Diceros bicornis minor: one gene and its partner. The protein of the gene in region 2 purifies or fractionates together with the protein of the main gene of each other region. This does not show direct contact. Links are inferred from orthologs where the notes say so. Each region holds a gene or a part of one and is shown on either strand. Other genes may lie near its edges.

The links. The genes of interacting proteins can lie anywhere in the genome.
Region 1: the proteins of STX12 (region 2) and SLC7A1 purify together in Homo sapiens (co-immunoprecipitation; 3 studies listed by BioGRID and IntAct, counting the BioPlex papers as one, with this or other methods). This does not show direct contact. The link is inferred for Diceros bicornis minor from reciprocal best matches to the Homo sapiens genes STX12 and SLC7A1.

What each region holds. Positions count from the first base shown.
Region 1 is NC_080748.1:12,666,094-12,672,969, forward strand, and holds the start of SLC7A1 (high affinity cationic amino acid transporter 1), read right to left. Parts: upstream 3,015-6,876; 5' UTR 2,820-3,014; intron 1-2,819. UniProt on the Homo sapiens protein: High-affinity, low capacity permease involved in the transport of the cationic amino acids (arginine, lysine and ornithine) in non-hepatic tissues.
Region 2 is NC_080752.1:43,287,323-43,295,029, forward strand, and holds the start of STX12 (syntaxin-12), read left to right. Parts: upstream 1-4,698; 5' UTR 4,699-4,787; coding exon 4,788-4,905; intron 4,906-7,707. UniProt on the Homo sapiens protein: SNARE promoting fusion of transport vesicles with target membranes. Together with SNARE STX6, promotes movement of vesicles from endosomes to the cell membrane, and may therefore function in the endocytic recycling pathway.

The DNA.
Region 1 (6,876 bases), on a different chromosome or scaffold from region 2:
CCTCAGCCTTCCCCATCTCACTAATATGGCAACTCCATTCTACTTAAAATCACATTCGACCTCTTTCACACCTCACATGGAACCCAGTGGCCAATCCTATTGGGTCCACCTCTAAAATCTACAGATAGAGCAAGTATATAAACCTACAGACGGAGCAGAATTCGACCACCTCACATTTCTACCATTTCCACCCCAGCCCAAGCTGCCATCATCTCTCACCAAAATTACATATGGTCACTCTCTCTTGTGTAGAAATAACCTGGAGGTGGGTTTTATTCCAGAATTACTTACAAGTCTCTGAACTGGTTGGTCTCCCTGCTTCTATGCCTGCCCCTCTCCCCACCCACCCATCTTTTCTCTATACAGTGTTTCAAGTAATCCTTGAAAACTACCAGACAGCTTTCCATGGTTCCCCACCTCACTCAAAGTAAAAGCAAAATCTTATGCGAGTAAAAGCAAAATCCTATGAGACCTGCCCTCAACTGGAACAGACAGAGGTATAGAGAGCCCCCAGGCCTGAAAAGGTCAATCATACAGAAAAACACTAGGGTCCCATCCACAGGTCCTGCTTGGAGTGAGGACCAAGAGCCAGGTGGAATGATGAACATCTCAGAAGATGCCTCTGGCCCAGAGGAAAATGCTTCCCTCCATAACAAGGCTGCACTTACTCCTGTTTGGAATTCCTTCTTAGGATTAATAAACCAATACTGCCAAATACATAGTTAATAATGAAAAGGGATTAATTCAATTAAACAATGCTGGGCATTGTTTTAATTTTTAATTTTTTTTTGTGAGGAAGATCAGCCCTGAGCTAACATCTGATGCCAATCCTCCTCTTTCTTTGCTGAGGAAGGTTGGCCCTGAGCTAACATCCATGCCCATCTTCCTCCACTTTATATGGGAGGCCCACCACAGCACGGCTTGACAAGTGGTGCGTCAGTGAGCCCCTGGGCCCGAACCTGCGAAGGCACGGCCGCCAAAGCAGAAGACGCGCACTTAACCGCTTGCGCCACCACGCCAACCCCCATAATTAGGTCTTTTTACTGGCCTTAGTAGAAATAAACTACTTGGTAGAAACTAAACTCAGTACACAGAAACTGTCAACAAACATGTATTTAATTCCATCGAAGAATGGAAACTTCTACCAAATATAATTAACACGCGTCCTAGTATTCAAACTCGGGAGGTCAGCAATCTTGTCTTTCAAGCCTTTTTCTCTCTGAAGCAAATAATTATATACATACAAGCACCCACGTGGCTCAAATCCAGATCCAACAACTGAGTACATTTCTGATCTCTATTTAGTCTTATCCTGTTGGTTTAGTCAAAACTCCTTTGACACCTTTTAAATTTTATATATAATGATTAAACATGATCTTAATATGCTAAACCTTTAAAAACTATTTTAATCCATTGTTGACTCTGCCCCCTAAATTTCTATTCTGATTGTGTGACTTAAATAAGACCTTTTGTTTTAATGACAGAAGGGTGTGTTCACAGAAAAATAATAATTTCCACCGAGATCAACTAAAAATATCAGGGGGATATATGTATCACCGTTTCCTTCTATCTGAACCGAACATAAAGGGCAACAAATGTTAAGAGAAATCCTAAGTAAATTATAGGTCAAATGAAATACAATCAGGAAATTCAGACAGAGGCCAACATACACAGTTCTAATGGTCAAATTTTAAAGAGCACATTTTTAGGGAACTACACCTGGTACTGAAATCCCAACCCTCTCCCTTGTAACTAAATCTGGAATAATACCCAACTCCAGGTACTTCCACACACCCGAGCCTGCCTGTGGGTATTAAGAAGTATAGTTCTCTTCCAGAAGGCACATGTCTGCCTATCCTAATCATACAAGTCAAACACAACTCCTAACTGGTTCCCACACCCACTGAAAAGGGGAAGGAACTAAAATAGCACGCTGTGGTAGTACTACAGTGCGAGTGCCGCTCTGTGTACACACAGGTTTTAGAGGGACTGCCAGACCTGCCTGGCCTGGGAAGTTTTCTACTACGCAGAAAGGGACACACTGAGAACAGGTTGTCTTTACTAAGCCGGAAGAACTTCCTCCCGCTCCAAACCATCTGGAAGGCTTGAAGAATCCAGCTTTTACAGGCCAATTCAGGTCACAAGGAAGCCCACCCAGAGGGGACTTCTCCGAAAAAACCCTGGCGATCCCGACAAGAGGTGTGGGCGGGGCGGGGCGCGTCCCGGGGTCTAGGGAAGAGAGTGGGCGCCGTGGGCAGGGTGCGGGGTGCTAGCGTTGTCCCCAGGCCGGCCACCTGCCGCGGGACCACCCTCCCGGCCGCCGGGCGGGCTCCCCACCCGCGGCGGATGACACATCGCGGACTTCGTGGCGGGGCGGGGTGCTCAGCACCGCGCCATGTAAGGGAAGGTCTCCGGATGCCTCCTGGGCCGGCCCCCGTACCCGCTCCCCGCCGCTGTCCACGCCGACCACCCCGTCCGTCCCGGCGCCGGGGTCCCTGGCAGGGCGCGCGGGGTGGGCATCACCGAGGAGCCAGGTCGCCCACGCTTACTCACTCGGTGTTGCATCATGCACCACGCCGCGCCTTCAGGGAACCAAAATGGACTCCGGTGAAGGAGACAGCCACATGGGCACCAGCCCCGCGCGCACACCCCCGGGCCCGCCCTGCCCTCGCCCACCCTGGAGGATGCCAGCGCCCCGGGCGCAGGACCCTCGCCGCTCCCGCGCCGCCCTCCCACGGCCCCACGCAGCGCCGGGGTCCCTTCCAAGGTGACCCAGACGCGGGGAGCTGCCCTGGCGCCGGCGGGGGCCGGGCACTCACCGAGCCGGCGGGCGGCAGGATGCCGGCACGACTGTGGATGGACGGACGCACGCGCGGCTGGACTGACGGACGCTCGGACGCAGGCCCGGCGCGGGGAGCCGCAGTGAGAGTGGGAGCTGCGGTTAGCGGATGCCGGCTGGCCGCGTGCCCCGCCAGGCAGTTGACCGGCCGCTCACACCTGCCCGCGCCGACTGAATGGAGCGTGAGGGCGGGCGGGCCCCGGCGCCGGGTTTCATCAGCCGCGCGGCCCGGGCCTGGCCCGCGAGCCCGCCCCCGGGCCCCAGCCCGCGCTGCGTCACCGCCGACCGCCAATGGAAGCGCGGCGCGGCTGCCCGGCGGGCGCGGGGGCGGGGCGGCGCGTCTTCGCGCGCCCGGGCGCCAACCTGGGATCCCCCCGCAGGCGGGCGGCGCCTCCCGGCGTCTTCGCGGTCGCCCCGCCCGCGTGTTGCCATTTCTCCGCCAATCCGAGCCGGCGGCCGCACCGCGTCCTCTGGTCCCCTGCAGGCCTGGCGGGCCGGGGCTAGTGCCGCGGGCTCGGCCGTGCCAAGCCCCGACCAGCGGGTCTCAGCGAGCTGACACCGAGCTCGCGGCCAGTTTTCCTTTCCAAAAATAAAAGATTTGGGAAGCACTTCAAGGGTTTTTAAAAATTATTATAAATCTTCATTTCTTTATCATTGGAGTATTTTATTGCTATTCCCTTGCTTTTAATAAATAATTTATCCTTGCCCCTTGTCAGGAAGGGCCCTGAAGCCTGAATCTACCTGTGCCCCTTGGCCGTGGGACAAGCATACCTGGCCAACGGGCTCGTCAAAGCGGCTTATTTCCGGAGTTACTCTCCCCGAGATGGCCGAGACTTCAGTACCGAATCCCACAGGGCTCACCTCACAAGCTCCCTCTTTGTTGTCTCTCTTTGCTCCAAAAAAAAAAAAAAAAAACCACAGTCTATGGAGATCCAGTGATGTGTGACATGTGAGAGGCGAGCGGGACATAGATTAATTCTGCCAGTCTCCTCCTAACTTTGTAGAAAACAGACAAAACGACAGTACAGTGTCCATGGTCTTTGAATCCTTTCCACACCTCCTACCCCCACCTGATGTTCTTGGTCAGTAAGGGGCTCGTCGTCAGCCACTGGATGTGATCCTCTCTTTTGGAATTACACTAGCTATTTATAGAGCACATAACTGCATGGTACTGGCTTCAGAAAATGTTTTAATGAACGCATAGAAATGTGCTAATATTTGTGAAGCATTTTGAACAGTGTTTGGCATCATAAGTGACTACCTGTACATTGTTTTAAAACAATAAATTTCAGTTTCAATTGTACAGTGATGAAATGATGCTCTCGAGTTGCATTAAGGAGGTCCCCTGTGTTGGGGCTTTTTCTGAATCCCACACAGTCTCCTTTACCCCCTGACACTGCCTTGAAAGGATGTCCCCCTTCTCACAGAGGGAAGCCTGGTGTGATTCAAGGACCACCCACTTTGTCTCTGCACCAGATCTGAATTTGAATCTGAATTCTCCCACTTCATTCCCTGTGTGGTCTTCTGCAAGCTTTTTCACCTCTATTAACCTTATATTCTTATCAGAAGACTATCCTTTAGTGTTTGAAATATGATTATAGGATTTTTTTTTAAAGAGTCTTGGCAGTAAAATAGAATTTAGTAGATTGTAGAGATGCTCGGCTTGGGGAATGCAGAGAAGGAACACAGAGTTAATATTTGTAAATTCTGAGAGCAAATGTTCCAGGCCCTGATGGGTATACGGGTGGAACTTAACCAAGGAGATTTGTAGCACTGTGCTCAGTTTAGCAATCCCACCCAGCAGGCTTCCTCTTCAGAAAGACAATAGCAGACCCTCAGTGACCAGACCCATAAGCAAGCAGCTTCCCAGCAAAAAGGATTCAGTGTGAACCAGGGAAAAAATCATTATGCTCAAGTTCTCAGCAAAAAGTTTTTAAAAAACTGAAAAAAAAACCTGGCTGAATTTTTTAAGTACAGCTAAACTTCAGGCAGTTAAGATTCCCATTGCAGGTCCAGAGGGACCATGAGTGACAGACAACCTCAGAATCAAAGAGCATTAAGCCAAGATTCCAAAGACTATTAAGGAAAGGAGATGCTAGAATTTTGGCCCTAGAGGGCACCATCTAAGGTTACGGTTGACAGACCAAGTCCCAGCCTAGCATGGGAGTGCAAAAAGTGTAGAGCATCAGAGAGTCAGACAGATGTGGTTTTAAACTCTAACTCGACTTTCTGCCCACTGCTGGCGCAGGGAAATTGTCCTCTCTTAGGCACAGTTTCTTCATCTTCAAAATAAGGGTTTTACTACCTACTGGATAGGAATAACTTTATGGTGAGAATGAAAAATATACATTCAGTAAAGGTGGAAAAAAAGAAAAAGAAAAATATGCATAAAGGTGAAACAAAATAGAGAGCCTAGAATTTTTTGTTGCTAGTGCTGTTGAGGCATTTCCGACTCCTAGTGACCCTGTGTACAGCAGAGCGGAACCCTACCCGGTCTTTTTGTGCCATCCTCTCATCTTCCAGGCTCTATATCAAACAATGTCCCACCACTATTCACAGGGTTTTCATGGCCAGTTTTTTCAGAAGTAGGTGGCCAAGTCCTTCCTCCCAGTCTGTCTTAGTCTGGAAGCTCTGCTGAAACCTGTCACCCTGGGTGACCCTGCTGGTATTAGACATACCAGTGGCATAGCTTTCAGCATCATGACAACACGCAGACACCACAGTATGACAGCTGACAAAGACCAGAAACAGACCCACGCAACACACAGTATGACAACCGACAGACAAAGCCCAGAAATAGAGCCACACAATATAGTCAACTGATTTTTGAGGCAAAGGAAAAAGGCAATACAATGGAGAAAGGACAGTCTCTTCAACAAATGGTGCTGAAACAACTGGACATCCACATGCAAAAAAAATGAATCTAGACACAGACCTTACACCTTTCACAAAAGTTAACTGAAAACGAATCATAGACCTAAATGTAAATGCAAAATGAGAAAAATCCTAGAAGATAACATAGGAGAAAATCTAAGTGATCTTTAGGTTTGGCAATGACTTTTTAGATACATCAAAAATATGATCCACAAAAGAAAAAATTGACAAGTTGGACTTCATTAAAATTTAAAACTTCTGCTGTGCAAAAGACACTATTAAGAGGGGCCGGCCCGGTGGCGCAAGCGGTTAAGTGCGCGCGCTCCGCTGCGGCGGCCCGGGGTTCGCTGGTTCGGATCCCGGGCGCGCACCGACGCACTGCTTGGTAAGCCATGCTGTGGCGGCGTCCCATATAAAGTGGAGGAAGATAGGCACAGATGTTAGCCCAGGGCCGTCTTCCTCAGCAAAAAAAAAAGAGGAGGATTGGCGGATGTTAGCTCAGGGCTGATCTCCTCACAAAAAAAAAAAAAAAAAAAAGACACTATTAAGAGAATGAAAAGATAAGCCTCAGACTAGAAGAAAATCTTTGCAAAACACATGCCTGGTAAAGTACTGGTACCCAAAATACACAAAGAACTTTTTTTTTTCTTTTTGTGAGGAAGATCGGCCCTGAGCTAACATCTGCCAATCCTCCTCTTTTGCTAAGGAAGACTGGCCCTGGGCTAACATCCATGCCCATCTTCCTCCACTTTATATGGGATGCCACCACACCATGGCTTGACAAGCGGTGCGTCGGTGTGCACCCGGGATCCGAACCGGCGAACCCCGGGCTGCCACAGCAGAGCGCACACACTTAACCACTTGCGCCACCAGGCCAACCCCTGCAAAGAACTCTTAAAACTCAACAATAAGAAAACAAACAACCCAACTTTTAAAATGGGCAAAAGACCTGAACAGACACCTCATCAAGGAAGACATATAGATGGCAAATAAGCATATAAAAAGATATTTAACATCATATGTCATTAGGGAATTGCAAATTAAAACAATGAGATACCACTGCACACCCATTGAATAGCTAAAATCCAAAACAGCAACACCACCAAATGCTGTCGAGGATGTGGAGCAACAGGAACTCTTGACTCATTGCTGGTGGAAATGCA
Region 2 (7,707 bases):
ATATGCTTTTGAGATGCGTCCATGTTGTCTCATGTCTCTGTAATTTATTCCACCTTTCAGTAGTTTGTTCCTTTTTATAACGGAATAGTTTACCATTGTATGGATGTACCACAATTTTTTATCTATTTGGCAGCTGATGGACATTTGAGGTATTTCTAGTTTTTTGTTATTATGAATAAAGGTGCCTTACACATTTGCATACAGGTCTTTGTATGAACATGTGTTTTTATTTCTCTTGGGTAAATACCTATGAGTGGGATGATTGTATGATAAATTTATGTTTCATTCTATAAGAAACTGCCAAACTGTTTTCCAAAGGGACTGTACAATTTTGCATTCCCCCTAGCAATGTATGATGAGTGCTAATTTTAATGCAGTCTCCTTTGCAACCCAAGTGAATTTCTCCATTGACCCTCCCCTATCATACCCCAGGAAGCGTGCCATATTGGTGATAATGATATTTTATTTTTAAAATATGAAACTTGGGGCTGGCCTGGTGGTGTAGTGGTTAAGTTTGTGCACTCTGCTTTGGTGGCCCCGGGGTTCGAGGGTTTGGATCCTGGGCGTGGACCTACGCACTGCTTATCATGGCATGCTGTGGCAGGCGTCCCACATATAAAGTGGAGGAAGATGGGCATGGATGTTAACCCAGGGCCAATCTTCCTCAGCAAAAGAGGAGGATTGGCAACAGATGTTAGCTCAAGGCTAATCTTCCTCGGCAAAAAAAAAAAAAAAACATTTACTGATGTATAGTATACATACAGAAGAGGACACACATCACATGTATATGACTTTATAAATTTTCACAAAGTAAACACCTATATAACTACCACCTAGATCATGAAATAGACTGCTACCAGCATCCTAGAAGCCCACCTCATGTGCCCACTCCTACTCACTCCCTTTCTTTCTCAAAACTAACTACATAACTCTTCTGGCTTTTAATAACACAGATTAATTTTGCTGATTTTGAACCAAATAAAAATGGAATGATACCGAATGTATTCATTTTGTGTCTGGCTTTTGCTACACATTCTGTTTGGACAAGATCACCCACATTGTTCACATAGCAGTAGACCATTTGTTTTTGTGTTCTATAATACTACAATTTATCCATCTTACTATTGATGGACATTTGGGTTGTTTCCAGTTGGGAACTAGTAAAAATAAATGCTGCTCTGGCCTTCTTCATAATAGCCCCAAACTGGAAAGATTCCAAATGTCCAACGATAAAAGGGAATGGATAATCAAATTGTAGTATATTCATATGATGAAATACTACTCAGCAATAAAAAGACCAAATCACTGATATATGTAACATCATGGATAAATCTCAAAAACATTATTTCAATTGAAACAAGCCATACACTAAAGAATACATAAAGTAGGGGCCGGCCTGGTGGCACAGCAGTTAAGCGTGCACGCTCCGCTTGGGCGGCCCCGGGTTCGCAGGTTCGGATCCCCAGCGCACACAGACGCACCGCTTGTCAAGCCAGGCTGTGGCGGCGTCCCATATAAAGTAGAGGAAGATGGGCACGGATGGTAGCTCGGGGCCAATCCCTCAGCAAAAAATGAGGAGGATTGGCATCGGATGTTAGCTCAGGGCTGATCTTCCTCACAAAACAAAACAAAAAAATGGTAGAAAGGAGCACAGCTCAAGGAAACTTTCTGGGGTTATGATGAAAATGTTCTATATTCTTGGTTTGGGTGGTGGTTACGTGCATGTATACAAGTGTCAAAATTCATTGACTTGAGCACTTACTATCTGTGCATTCTATTGTATGTCAATTATAACTTGATAAAAATGAATACAGAAAAATGCTGCTTAGTCCTAAAAAATGCTATTATGTACACTCCTATACTTGGTTTTTGGAACACATGTGTATGCATATTTGTTGAGTAGATAGTTAGGAGTAGAATTGCTAGGTCATAGAATATGTATGAATCACAGCTCTGCAACTTAATAGGCGTATGACATTGGACAAGTACCCAGAACCTCTAGAGAACACCATCTTCCTTATCTGTTACCCATGAGCTAATCTCACCTTAATGGGCATGAACCATGAAAACTATTTTTGTCAATTAACAAAAGGACATAATGCTGAGAAACCTTATTCTCTAAAATCACAGATTTTCAGAAAATTGGCTATTTGAAATATCAGTAAGAATGGAATATTCCACTCTTGCCTGGAGGATCTGAGCTACTTTGACACAGAGAAGCAGCCTCAATTTCCAACCCAGGTGCAGAGCTTCAGACAAGGGGTTTCCAGATACAATATTCCACATTTCTCTTCACATTGTAGTTTCCAAGGAAACAGGATCCTGAGTCCTCTTGTTAGCTCAGGCCTGATGATAATCCCTTTACACATAGCCTGGTGTGCTTTGAGGTTATCAAAACCACTGCTTCTTTTAAATTTCACCTACACTCCCATCATTTCCTCAAATTCTGGAATAACTCTATGTCTTCTTATGCTTAGTGAGATGCCCATGATTCCTCCGGTGTGCAGTCTCCCTTGCAGCATTAAGTTAATAAGTCTAACTTTGTTAGACCATAGGTGGTCTTTATCACGTGGGCTATATCTTGGGGATTACTATTAACATTTGTAAAATGTGTTCACATTGCCTGTATAGGCAGTTAAGAAATAGTAGTAATTTTATGTTATTCATGTATCAATTCAATAAATGTTCATTTGATATCTAGTATTTGCAAGGCACAGATTATTGCTATGAGAGACGCACAGATGGAAAACCATTTTTTATTTCAGATGGAAAAAGAAAACAATAACAATAATCACTATATCTTCAGTTCCTGGGAGAAAAATACCTTTACTGAACTTTGCTTTAAATAGTCAAATGTAAATGAAAACATTCTCAAGACTATTTTAAATTTATTTATTTATTTTTTCCCCCAAAGCCCCAGTAGATAGTTGTATGTCACAGCTGCACAACCTTCTTAGTTGCTGTATATGGGACATGGCCTCAGCATGGCCGGAGAAGCGGTGCCTCGGTGCATGCCCGGGATCTGAACCCAGGCCGCCAGCAGCAGAGCGCGCGCACTCAACCACTAGGCCACGGGCCAGCCCTCTCAAGACTATTTTATGGGTAAAAAAAGTACTACAATTTACATGATTTGCCATAAGATTTGCCATAAAACTATGGATTCTAAGAAACGGTAGGGTTTTCATAACCAGAATGAGAGCCCCCAAATGTCATCTGTCCCTTTCTATAAAGAAGTACTCTTGGGGCCAGCCTGATGGCATAGCAGTTAAGTTCACATGCTCTGCTTTGGTGGCCCAGGGTTCGCAGGCCCAGATCCGGGCACGGACCGATGCACTGCTTGTCAAGCCATGCTCTGGTGGTGTCCCATATAAAGTAGAGGACGATGGGCACGGATGTTAGCCCAGGGCCAATCTTCCTCAGCAAAAAGAGGAGGATTGGCAACAGATGTTAGCTCAGGGCTAATCTTCCTCACCAAAAAAAAAAAAAAGAAGTACTCTTGTAAATGTTCCAACAAAAAATAGAGATAGGCTTGCTTACAAAAACTCTAAGCCTGAATGTAGGCTCATTCACCCATTTGGCTTCCTCTCTTTGCCATTCCCCAGAGATTGCAAAGCAAGCTGGGCTGGGGTGGAGTGGAGAACACAGGAAACCAACATGGCCAGTTCCCCTTCACTTCTCCCTGTCTTGATTTCCTCCCAAACCAAAATCCTACCCACGTCTTTCCATTTACCATCAGCTCACAAAATGCAGTCTTCTATAAGAACATGAGGTTATACAGTCCAAATTACTTAAGGGAATGATTTTTAAAATTTGAGAGTCTAGTTCTCCAAAAATCCTGGTTTGGGATATAGATGAAGAGGCTATTTGGGAGAGGTTTTGATGGAGAATGAATTTGGGAATATGAGAATGTGTTTTAGGGAAGTAATGCGATGACCATGGATTTAGCTTAGTGTGTGGGTTTTGTAGTCAGATCTCAGAAAAGCAAATTAACCTCTGTGTTAAAGGGAAAATAACCGTTACTTTGTCGAGGTAGTTCAACATTTTAAAAATCGATTGTCCATTGTTTATTCTGAAGGTAAAAATATAGTTAGAACATCGTCCCTTGCTGTGAAAGAGCTTGTAAACAAGTGAATTGCAGCGAGGATTCACACACAGTACGTGCTCAAATTTTATTATTATTATTATTATCATTTTATTGTTTAGAAGAGGGGTGCAGGGAAAAATGAAAGTGGTTTGTAAACCAGAAAAGTCTCCGCAAATACTATCAAAGCCCTAGAGGATAGAAATAGAGTGAGGAATTTCAGGAGTTTGGTTACGGATCTGAGTTTCAAGGTTGTCGAATTCTCCCATATTTGGGCGTGAATTCTCAGAAAAGAACAGAATAGCATGTTAGGGCTGAGATCATCTGGTCCAATTTTATGCTAATCGAAAATTCTTGCCTCCTGTCACCGCGCCCAGGCGAGAAACACCACCGCCACCGCAGCTCATCCAATCGGAGCCCCAACTATCTGACATCATCGCCCCGCCCCTCAAGCCCAAGCTCCGGGGCGTCCAGTCTCTAAGCTACTGTGCCCCGCACCACTTCCAGCGGCGCCCGCGCAACTGAGGGGCGGGGCGGGGCGGGGCGGACGCGTGCGCGCCGCGTGGGGGCGGGACTAGTGCGCACGCAGCCTCAGCCTCTTCCCAGACCTTTTCCTTCCTGGTTTCCCCGTCAGTCTGCGGGTCCCGTCTGGCAGCTGCTTCCGGTAGGAGCCCGGTGCAGGACCAGTCGGTCTCAGCTCCTCGTCATGTCCTACGGTCCCTTAGACATGTACCGGAACCCGGGGCCCTTGGGGCCCCAACTCCGGGACTTCAACAGCATCATCCAGACGTGCAGCGGCAACATCCAGCGGATCAGCCAAGCCAGTGAGCCGGGGGACTGGGCTGAGGGGCGGGCGCCGTCCGGGGGTCAGGCCTGGGTGTGGCTGCCGGGACGCGGAGCTCGGCCGGGGCTACGGCCAAGGCCGCACCTGACGCCATCTCGGGCTCTCCATTCTGGAGGCGGCGCCTGTCATCCCCGCATCTGTCAGGCCCGGGCTCCCCGAGGGTCCCGAGCCCCAGCGGAAGCTCGAGCTATTTCCCAGGTTCTGCCCTCGTGATGTTAGGGCCAAAACTGCAGACCTGACAGCCCCAGGGTGGGAAGGGGTGTGTGTGTCACCTCGAGAGCAGTGAGTGACTTGACTTGGCGCAGTGGTCAGCCGAGTTTTTCCTGTCATCCGCCTTCCCCCCGCCCATCTCTCCTTCCTCTTTGGCTAGCTTGGATCGGGAGTTGTTTACTGATTTAGACTTTAGGTTTACATTCTGCTGAGCTTCTGGCTTCTTGGAGATCAGCAGCTTTCAATTAAAGGAAGTGGAGAGTGCTTGTGTTATGGTGACTTAATACACAGTTCTTCACGTAGTGAAATTGGAAATCAGATAACGACTTCTGTTTTAAATAAAGAGAATTCACCGAAAACATTTCAATTTACATTGTCTTTTGTAGCAAAAGATTTGCGTATATTTTTGGATTTCAAGCCAATGAGGCTTTGTTTTCCATCTCTATTGAGCTACTCTTCTGAGCAAATCTGATACATAGAGAAGCTCAGGATCTTGGCCACAATCACATAGCAAGTAAGACATGGTAGAGTTGGTGGTAGATTTCAGAATGTCCTTGCTTGTCTTAAAACTGGATCCCCACCATTGGGGTCTGAGTGAGACTGCAGCTGAATGAGTCAGATAGAGGCTGTTTCTCGTGCCTGAAAAATCAGCTCAGAGCCTTATAAACAGGAGGTCAGCAGCAACAACTTTACTTGGAAAGAATGATGATCATCATCCTTGTTGTTTATTATTGTGCTTTTGTGAGTGTGGCTGGACTCTGTTAATAGATAGAACTAGTTGGTCCTGAATTACAGTTATGTTTTATATTTTAAAGAACAATCTATCACTTTGCTTTTAAATTTAAATACATAGTGCAGAATTTGAGAGGTGAGAAGTTTCTGATGGGAAGGGTTTGAGACTGAGTGATTTGGAAGTGGAAAGAAGAATATGTAGCATGTCAAGTCCAGAAATTAAAAAAGAAATTAATGTGACCACTGGTTAGAAAGTATAGTACTTTGTGTTCCAATTTCCTTTTGTGAGGGAGCTGTAATACAAGTTAGATCAGAAAATTCTGGTTCAAGGCTAAAAGTTTCTTGTTGAGGCTAAATCTAATTTTAATGTCTATTTGTGAAATCATTCTACATATATTTGAGTATCAGGCTATGTAGTAAGTATAGGAACTGGCATGGATTCTTTCATATATTCATATTTCAACCGAAATATAAAGTTGAAAGGGATCAGTGCTATAGATGAAGTTTAAATAACATTATGTAGGTATTCAGAGGAGAGAGAGACTATTTTGAGTTGGGAGGGATCGGGGAAGGCATTATGGCATTTGAGCTAGGTCTGAAAAGATGGTGGAAAGGATTTGAACTTGTGACGGTAATGAATGGGAGAGCATTCCAGGAGGGAATAAAATGAACAAGGCATGCTAGTGGAAAGGCATGTGGTTTATATAGAAAAGTAGAGTGATTTAATTTGGCTGGAGTGGTAGACTCTAGAAAGTAGGGGAAAATGGGGTTGGAAAGGTAAGTTCGGGCCCAAACATGAAGGGCTTTATGTGCTAAACTAAGGGGATTTGGATTTAATTCTTTTAAGAATGTGTAAATTGAATTGGAAGGGAGAGACTGGAATTAGAGACAGCAGTTAGGAACTGTGAAAATTAAAAGGAAGGAGAGGATAGGAGGGATCTCTTTGATGATAGAATTGATAAGATGTAGTTGTCGACTGGGCTCAAGGGATCATTGGAGTCAACCATTAATAACATTAATAGGGGCCGGCCTGGTGGCCCAAGCGGTTGGGTGCGCACGCTCTGCTGCGGCCCGGGGTTCGCCAGCTGGGATCCCGGGCACGCACCCACGCACCGCTTGTTAAGCCATGCTGTGGCGGCGTCCCATATAAAGCAGAGGAAGATGGGCACGGATGTTAGCCCAGGGCCAGTCTTCCTCAGCAAAAAGAGGACGATTGGCATTGAATGTTAGCTCAGGGCTGGTCCTCCTCACAAAAAAAATAAATAAATAAAATAACATTAATAGCTAACATTTCAGTACATACTGTGTGCCAGGCAGTATGAAAAGTGTTTTACATGCATTATCTTACTTAATTTTATAACACCTCTGTGAAGTAATTACCAATATTATTTCCATTTGATAGGTTTGGAAACAGGCTGAGAAAGGCTAAATAATTACCTAGCTAACAAATGGCAATACCTGAATTTGAAACCAGGTCTGTCTCTTATGACCAGCAATTAGCCTTTTTTGTAATTTTTAATTAATATTACAGTTTTGTAGCAGTTAACACTTCAAGTTACCAGTGACTTTTTTTTTTTTTTAACTTTCCATAGGAAACTATGGAGAATACCTGAGGCTGTGGAACTTTCTCTTCTTATGGTGTGTCCATCTTCCTGCTAGATTGTTAGCTCCTTTGAAGCATGAGACATGACTTATTCATCTTTATATTTCTAGTACTTGTCTCAGTCCCAAGCATATGATAGATTCATTCATTCACTCACTGTTCAACAAATACTCTTTGAGTACCTGCTGTGCACTGGGGATGGAGTGATGAACAAGACAGACAAAATCCTTGCCCTGA